Linked DNA regions of Arabidopsis thaliana. The protein of the gene in region 1 interacts with the protein of each later gene in a pairwise test. Each region holds a gene or a part of one and is shown in the gene's direction. Other genes may lie near its edges.

The links. Proteins that work in one complex are often made in the same cells at the same time.
Region 2: the proteins of AT1G61420 (region 1) and AT1G54540 interact in a protein complementation assay, tested with the Arabidopsis thaliana proteins (one large-scale study listed by BioGRID).

The regions. Positions count from the first base shown.
Region 1 is NC_003070.9:22,660,017-22,665,988, reverse strand, and holds AT1G61420 (S-locus lectin protein kinase family protein), read left to right. Parts: upstream 1-1,814; 5' UTR 1,815-2,392; coding exon 2,393-3,647; intron 3,648-3,776; coding exon 3,777-3,887; intron 3,888-4,004; coding exon 4,005-4,174; intron 4,175-4,253; coding exon 4,254-4,464; intron 4,465-4,560; coding exon 4,561-4,798; intron 4,799-4,897; coding exon 4,898-5,048; exon of another isoform or gene 5,049-5,138; coding exon 5,139-5,432; downstream 5,433-5,972. Other genes in the region: AT1G61430 (S-locus lectin protein kinase family protein), read left to right, coding at 1-107, 174-384, 463-700, 784-934, 1,024-1,320; AT1G61415 (CAP-gly domain linker), read right to left, coding at 5,569-5,755, 5,842-5,935.
Region 2 is NC_003070.9:20,367,005-20,370,459, reverse strand, and holds AT1G54540 (Late embryogenesis abundant (LEA) hydroxyproline-rich glycoprotein family), read left to right. Parts: upstream 1-1,948; 5' UTR 1,949-2,038; coding exon 2,039-2,758; 3' UTR 2,759-2,907; downstream 2,908-3,455. Other genes in the region: AT1G54550 (F-box and associated interaction domains-containing protein), read right to left, coding at 1-771.

The DNA.
Region 1 (5,972 bases):
GTTTAGAATTTTTTGAGATGAATGCCATACAAACTGCCACCAATAATTTCAGTCTATCAAACAAACTCGGTCCTGGTGGATTTGGTTCTGTTTACAAGGCGAGAAACGTTTTATCCTCTTTGCTCTTTTTCTTTTCTGTCATTTCTTGACATGACATTTGCAACTTGTTTCAGGGAAAACTGCAAGATGGAAGAGAAATTGCGGTAAAACGTCTTTCTAGCAGCTCTGGGCAGGGCAAACAGGAGTTCATGAATGAAATAGTACTGATATCAAAACTCCAACACAGAAACTTAGTCCGGGTTTTGGGATGCTGCGTCGAAGGAACAGAGAAGCTATTGATTTATGGGTTCTTGAAAAACAAAAGCCTGGATACTTTTGTCTTTGGTGGGTCACTTCTTACCCCTTTCGTGTAGTTTTCCCCTTTATATCTGGAATTTCTTATCTGATAGCTTGTATACTTAGATGCAAGAAAAAAGCTCGAACTTGATTGGCCAAAGAGATTTGAGATCATTGAAGGTATTGCACGTGGACTTCTCTATCTCCACCGTGACTCACGCCTCAGAGTAATTCACCGAGACCTGAAGGTCAGCAACATTCTTCTGGATGAGAAAATGAACCCGAAAATATCAGATTTTGGTTTGGCTCGGATGTTTCAGGGAACCCAATATCAGGAAAAAACTCGCAGGGTTGTCGGAACTCTGTAAGAACCATCCCTTGATAACATATTAAACTAGATTGGTAGTCATATATTAAATTGGGTGAAACTATTTGATCTTTGAACAGAGGATATATGTCTCCTGAGTATGCATGGACTGGCGTATTCTCTGAGAAATCCGATATCTACAGTTTCGGAGTTCTGTTGTTAGAAATCATCAGCGGAAAGAAGATCTCAAGTTTCAGCTATGGCGAGGAGGGAAAAGCACTTCTTGCATATGTTAGTAAGACTTTATGTTTTCATGCATTTGCAGAGGTTGCAAAAGGTTTGTTGCTTTGATATTCTTAAGAGTGGAAACTGAAAAACAGGCATGGGAATGTTGGTGTGAAACCCGAGAAGTTAATTTTTTGGACCAAGCTCTTGCTGATTCTAGTCACCCATCTGAAGTTGGAAGGTGTGTACAGATTGGTTTGCTCTGTGTTCAACACGAGCCTGCAGACAGACCAAACACACTTGAGTTGCTGTCTATGCTTACCACAACATCAGATCTTCCTCTGCCCAAAAAACCCACATTTGTAGTGCACACTAGAAAAGACGAATCACCGTCAAATGATTCGATGATCACTGTCAATGAGATGACAGAGTCTGTGATCCAAGGACGTTGAAACTGTAGAATTGGAATTATTCTCTATAAGGATCAAAATTTCTAATGGTTGTAAAATTACATCCCTTCCTTTATTATTCAGAAACTTTTTATCTATGTGGAAACTGTTTGGTAAAATTGACTAAGGTATATTTTATTAGGCATGATTACATGATTCCACTTCCCACTAAATTGACAAAATACTTTGCTCAAAAACAAATCGTTGACTCTACTTCATTTTAAGACTTCCCGGGAGATTATTCTCGGGCCTAGTGGCACACCAATGTTGACTGTTGAATTCTTCGGTTCTTTTGGACAGAAACAGTTAAGCCCATATGGTTGGAGTTGGGAATCAGTCGATTAGGGTCATTACGGGTCTAACGACATTAGCGAGGCTCGGAGGTTTTTTTTATGCACTGCAAGTGTTCGAGGAAATGTCTAAACGAGATAAAACATAGCCTGCATTTCAAGAAAGTTATTGTGTTGTAATGGTGAAGCAAGGATTGGATTCTTTCGATTGATGCAGAACTAATAAGGACTTGAACAATGACAACGTTGCGTATCTGATTGGGTAAGGACTTCTTCGTGCCAATCTATCATGTATGCATTGTTTCTATTATTGATGCAGAGCTAATAAGGACTTGGAATTGTCTCCCACTCATTCACGTTGTTATTTGTTTAGTGAGCAGTTACTTTCTGAACACCTTTTTTGTGTATTTAAGTAAATGATTGTCTTTGAATGGAATAGAAGAAAATTTGCAGTAACTTATTCTAAAGTCTTTGATAACCAAAGTCTTCTTCTTTTTGTTCTTGATAGCATTGAACAATGACAACGTTGCGTATCTGATTGGGTAAGGACTTATTCGTGCTTTGACACTTTTGTTCTCTATTATCAAATAACGCATGATTTTTGGAACATTAGTAAAGATTATTAAATAACGCATGATTTTTGTTCTGTATTATTCTCACAAGTCAGTCCCTGAGTTGACAAAACAAAAAATGTGCAAAGAGAGTTTTTTTTTTTTTTTTTCTTGCTTTCTCGCTTTATGTAAAGCTAATCTAAAAAAGATAGTTTTTGGAGAGAAATAACAAATATGGGGAAGAAGTGGATCGTGTTCTTTGCTTATTTGCTCTTATCTAGCTTCTTTATAAGTTCTAGCTCTGCAGGGATAACGAAAGAAAGTCCTTTGCCAATAGGACAAACTCTCAGCTCCTCTAATGGTTTTTATGAACTGGGGTTCTTCAATTTTAATAACTCCCAGAATCAGTATGTCGGAATCTGGTTCAAGGGTATTATTCCCCGGGTGGTTGTGTGGGTGGCCAATAGAGAAAAGCCTGTTACAGATTCCACGGCAAATCTCGCTATCAGCAACAATGGAAGTCTTCTGTTATTTAATGGCAAACATGGCGTTGCATGGTCCAGTGGAGAAGCTCTTGTTTCTAACGGGTCTCGTGCAGAGCTTTCAGACACCGGAAATCTTATTGTCATAGACAATTTTTCGGGAAGAACTCTATGGCAAAGCTTTGACCATCTTGGTGATACTATGCTTCCTTCCTCAACCCTGAAGTATAACCTCGCCACTGGCGAGAAGCAGGTGTTGAGTTCTTGGAAAAGTTACACTGATCCATCGGTTGGCGACTTTGTGCTTCAGATTACGCCACAAGTGCCAACGCAGGTGCTTGTTACGAAAGGATCAACGCCTTATTATAGAAGCGGTCCATGGGCTAAAACAAGGTTCACGGGGATACCGCTAATGGATGACACATTTACAGGTCCAGTCAGCGTTCAGCAGGATACAAATGGGTCAGGATCTCTCACTTATTTAAACAGAAACGATAGACTTCAACGTACAATGCTAACATCAAAGGGCACACAGGAGTTGTCTTGGCATAATGGGACGGACTGGGTATTGAACTTTGTGGCTCCAGAACACTCATGTGATTACTACGGTGTATGTGGACCTTTTGGGTTATGTGTGAAGTCTGTTCCTCCAAAATGTACGTGTTTCAAAGGGTTTGTTCCTAAACTCATTGAGGAGTGGAAAAGAGGAAACTGGACTGGTGGTTGTGTGAGGCGTACCGAACTATATTGTCAAGGAAACTCTACTGGCAAATATGCAAACGTGTTCCATCCTGTTGCCAGGATAAAGCCTCCAGACTTTTACGAATTTGCAAGTTTTGTGAATGTTGAAGAATGCCAGAAAAGTTGCCTCCACAATTGTTCTTGCTTGGCCTTTGCTTATATCGATGGAATTGGGTGCTTAATGTGGAACCAAGACCTAATGGACGCAGTGCAATTTTCTGAAGGAGGAGAACTTCTCTCCATTCGTCTGGCACGTTCTGAACTAGGTATGGCGCTCAAATGATTACACGGAAGAATTACTTCGTTTACAACTTTATCTACAACTCCATTGATACTCTTCTTACCGGAAGCAGCATGGCTTATTGTTTAATTTGTTTTTGTCTTATATGTCACAGGTGGAAATAAGCGCAAGAAGGCCATTACTGCTAGTATTGTGAGCCTTTCTCTTGTTGTGATAATTGCGTTTGTTGCGTTTTGTTTCTGGAGATATAGAGTGAAACATAATGGTAAAAACTGATGATCTTACTCCCTCTCTATTGATTTCTTTTCTTTATTTACAGTACTCATTTTCTTGCTATTGGTAAGACACTGATGACCTATATTATCTATAATTGAAACACTAGTTTCAGCTGATATAACAACGGATGCTTCACAAGTTTCATGGAGGAATGATCTGAAACCACAAGATGTCCCAGGTTTAGATTTCTTTGATATGCATACCATTCAAACTGCCACCAATAATTTCAGTATATCAAACAAACTCGGACAAGGTGGATTTGGCCCTGTTTATAAGGTTAGAGAATTTTTAACCTCTTTGCTCTTTTCTATTCTTTGCTTATGCTCTCCAGATGACCTTATGCAATGTGTTTCAGGGTAAGCTGCAAGATGGGAAAGAAATTGCTGTAAAACGGCTTTCTAGCAGCTCGGGCCAGGGCAAAGAGGAGTTCATGAATGAAATAGTACTCATCTCAAAACTACAACATAAAAACTTAGTTCGGATTTTGGGATGTTGCATTGAAGGAGAAGAGAAGCTATTGATTTATGAGTTCATGTTGAACAATAGCCTTGATACCTTTCTCTTCGGTGGGTTCCTTCTTGCTTCATTCCTTTACTATCAGCAACTTTTTCTCTACATGGAACTGTCTTATCTGATTGTTCATACTCTATATTGTCGCTTAGATTCAAGAAAAAGGCTTGAGATTGACTGGCCAAAGAGATTGGATATCATTCAAGGTATTGCGCGTGGAATTCACTATCTCCATCGTGACTCACACCTCAAGGTTATTCACCGAGATCTGAAGGTTAGCAATATTCTTCTTGACGAGAAGATGAATCCAAAGATATCAGATTTTGGATTGGCTCGGATGTATCAGGGAACCGAATATCAGGACAATACTCGCAGGGTTGTAGGAACTCTGTAAGACTCTATTTTCCATAACATTGTTAACAAGATTCATAGTCATAAACTCATAATCGTTTATTAAACATTGGGTGAAACTATTCGATGTTCGCACAGAGGATATATGGCTCCTGAGTATGCATGGACTGGGATGTTTTCTGAAAAGTCCGACATCTATAGCTTTGGAGTTCTAATGTTAGAAATCATAAGCGGGGAGAAGATCTCAAGATTCAGCTATGGCAAAGAAGAAAAAACCCTTATTGCATATGTAAGTACAACTTTTAGGTATTCATACAGTTGCAAATGTCTCAAAACGTTTCTTGCTTTTATATTCTTAAGACCTGAATCTGAACAACAGGCGTGGGAATCTTGGTGTGATACTGGAGGAATTGATCTCTTGGACAAAGATGTCGCCGATTCATGTCGCCCACTGGAAGTTGAGAGATGTGTTCAGATCGGTCTGCTCTGTGTTCAACACCAACCTGCAGATAGACCCAACACACTTGAGTTGCTGTCTATGCTCACCACAACATCAGATCTTCCACCACCAGAACAACCGACATTTGTAGTGCACAGGAGAGATGACAAATCATCGTCTGAGGATTTGATCACTGTGAATGAGATGACAAAGTCTGTGATCTTAGGGCGTTAAGAAATGATGTTTGATCTTAGGGCGTTGATAACAAACTTCACCTTTTATTCTTTTTGTAACATATTTTTTGTATACATGAACCTCCATTCTGGTGCACCAATGATCCATGGTGTTGAAGATAATGTGACCAGAAACACTAATCAGATAATAGATTCATCATTTCATCTTCCATGTAAGCCAAAATAGAGTTCTTCACATCTAAGTTCTTCTCCTCCAACATCCGAACTTCGTTGTCGAGAAACTCTCTTTCCAACAATAAATTCCTGAATTCACTGTCTTCAATCTCCCTTTGAAACCCAAAACACATCTTCACAAAACCTTCCCTGTGTAAAAAAATTCCATAAGCAATGCTTTATCAATCAGAGGATCAAGAACACAAATGCTTGTTTACAACACAATCGATGTTTACCGCTTCTCGGTTAGTCTTGTAATTAGCTCACTATGCTCATTTCTCAAACGACAAATCTCATCCTCCAATAGCTTCAGAGAGTTTCTTGAATCAGCTTTAAGAAAATAAAACATAGTGATAGAGATTTAACA
Region 2 (3,455 bases), 2.3 Mb from region 1:
CTTAGTCGAAATACAAATCTCTATTGTGCCAAATCTGTTGAGGTGGCTGTATAACACAGCGAGTTTCTCATTTCTAACACAAGATAGAGTCAAATATTCAAAACGACGAGATGGAGGTTTAAACAGCATAGGCAAACGTGGTCCCTTTCGACCAAAAAAGTAAGTATTTCCCTTCAAAGACACGCTATTGTGACTAAACAGTTCATGCCAATCTATATCAATATCAAGAACCCTCCATGAATCAGAGCTAAAATCGTAAACATCAATAATGACGTTTCTTGGACTCCCCTCATAAAGAAACCTCAAAATTTTGTGGTTACGGTTGTTGTCGTATCCAAGAGCAAACTTGTCATATCTGTGGAGTTTTTTTCTTGGTTGAATCAATTTCGTCTGCCCTAAATACGGATTCCATACCATAACACTCGAGTTGTCTTTGGCGATGCATAACAATAAGCCATCACAGTGATAGACTTGAGATATCTCGACTTGATCAACTTTATTAGGTATACTTATTTGCTTTATAGATAGATCAATCAAATCTTCTTCGCTACGGATTCCTTGAAGATCTAATCTCAAAGAACAAACCCTAGAATCTGTAACCATGAACTCCAAGAACTGATTCTTTGCTGCTGCTTTTTTACCTAAGATGTCATATTTCGATATAGCGTTCCACTTTTTACAAGTAGATCTCACTGCTCTTAGAGATGTCAATGGAACCCTAGAAAATATTTCTCTTACCAAATCATCCGGTAGATCGGTTACTGTCGCCATTCTTCCTCCAAGTTTTCAGCTTTCTCCACAAGTTTAATGTCTCATTGACCTATTCGGTACCCTAATATGTTTGTATATGTGTTTTGGTTGGGCTTGTAATAAAGTTTTGCTTTGGCACAGATTTTTTAAATGGGCCTATTATTTGGAAAAAAATAAACCATCGAATCCTTAACTATATCATATGGTAAAATTACGAAATCGTTTAGCAACTGATTTTCAGTTTTACTTAAAAACTACGAAGCTCTTGATTTAGTTCGTAGAGTGCACCACCACATATTTAGTAATCTCTTTATAGATCAGATGATATGTGACTAACATAAATTTCCAGAGTAGATGAGTGATGACTATATATTAATTGGGAAACTTTGACATCTATCACTTTTACGATTCCATTTCTCAAAATAAACTACTAAAGACTTTTTTTTTAAAAGGATGCAAAAGAATCCTAAGATAGAGTGTTTTGAGAAGTCTATTAGCCCATGGAACTAGAGTTTTAGCTAGCAAAAGCATATAAATTTATGGTTAGAACATCCATGGAAGGTAACTTTGTTTGAGAGTTGTCCTCTCAAAACAACTCTCTTCCTTCATCTTAATAAGAGTATCAATTTCGAATCATAGTGTTCTTGGTGACAACGAAGTAATATTTTCTCTATCAGTACCCTTGCATCATAAAGTTTTAATAATCTATCTAAGTTCTTAGTTTCTATCTTAATAAGTTTGAATCTTTCTTCTTTTGAGATTGCTTACAAAAAAATCATTCAAGAATCAATTTATAAAACCTTATATAACTTTATAAATATTTTCTATAAAATGTATTTAAAGAAATTATAAATCCTTTTGTGGTGTTTTTGAAAAAAAAAATTAGTGATAGTTATGAAATGTATCATAAAAATTGTAGTTTTCAAATTCTTCCTCAAGAATTTGATTATACGGGTTGTTGCTGAACATAGAGATGAACAAAAAGAAGATATGTGTTGAAAACATTGGAATGTTGCCAAAGTCGTCATCCTAACTAAACCAATATACCGAATGATTTATTGTTTTTGTTTTATTATCGAATTAAATACAAAAAGATTACTGTAACTGTTGAACAACCTCTAGTCTTTCTAATATATTCTGATTAATTCAACGTTATAGGTGAGGAAGGTAAGATGTTGGTAAAAGTCATGCATGGAAACAACTTCACAAGACAAAACTTTGATATAAAATAAAGTACATATAATACATGTTGGTGCATTAGTATTACTAAATACAAAGTTGTAGATCCATGGGAGATCAACAAAAAATTCACCCGGTTCTTCAAATGGAAGCCAACAAGACGAAGACAACAACACCAGCTCCCGGAAAGACAGTCTTGCTTCCGGTTCAACGGCCGATTCCGCCTCCTGTTATTCCTAGTAAGAATCGAAATATGTGCTGCAAAATCTTTTGTTGGGTGTTAAGCCTTCTAGTCATTGCATTGATCGCGTTAGCAATTGCGGTTGCGGTTGTATACTTTGTTTTCCACCCTAAACTCCCGAGTTACGAAGTCAACAGTTTACGAGTTACCAACCTTGGAATCAATCTAGACCTCTCTCTTTCCGCGGAGTTTAAAGTCGAGATCACAGCTCGTAATCCCAACGAAAAGATTGGGATTTATTACGAGAAAGGAGGTCATATCGGTGTGTGGTACGACAAGACAAAGCTATGTGAAGGCCCTATACCGAGGTTTTATCAAGGACATCGCAATGTAACTAAACTAAATGTGGCTCTAACGGGAAGAGCGCAATATGGGAACACTGTCTTGGCGGCATTGCAGCAGCAACAACAAACAGGACGTGTACCGTTAGATCTTAAAGTGAATGCACCTGTCGCCATCAAACTCGGAAATCTGAAGATGAAGAAGATTCGGATATTGGGGAGTTGTAAGCTTGTTGTTGATAGTTTATCAACGAACAATAATATCAACATCAAAGCTAGTGATTGCAGTTTTAAGGCCAAACTCTGAGATGTTCTTAGATCTAGGCGCTTTTACTTTTTATTGGTGTTAATTACTCAATTCATCATTTTCTTATGCATTTGATTCATATTTTGGATTAATGGTTTTATTCTCAATAAAAGATTGATTTTTATTTTTTAAATTACGAGAGATTTTTGAAATTTCAAAATATTGCAAATGAATGGTTCTTTTCCGCTTAACATAATTTCTATGAAGTAGTCGGAACGAGACTCTCTTCTAGAGAGAGAGAGAGTCATTCAGGAACCGACGTGCTTACATGGGAAAAAAACCTATTGCGATCTCATGTCTTTTTCCAAGGCAATCGATCCGCACATTAAAACGACGAGAAAGAAAATTAATACTAGAAGAGGGAAAAAAACATACAAGGGAACCAAATGTCGTCATCTCAACTACAAATGTTGGCTACACTGAAAGTTTTTCAATAGAGATAAGATCTTCACGGTCGAAAGCAAAAGAGCAACTCGTAACACCTATCGAGATTATAAATTCTATTGCCCATAGCATGGAATCAACTTCAGCATGAATGGTTTGGTAGTGTGAATCACATCTATACTATTTTTTCAATGGTAAAACTTTCGAAAATTACAATAGAATTGAAATATAAAATTTCGAGAAAATTCAAACGATCTCGAGTTTAATTCATCCCAAGTAAAAAAAGAAGTAAAAATCGAAGAAATTACAATGT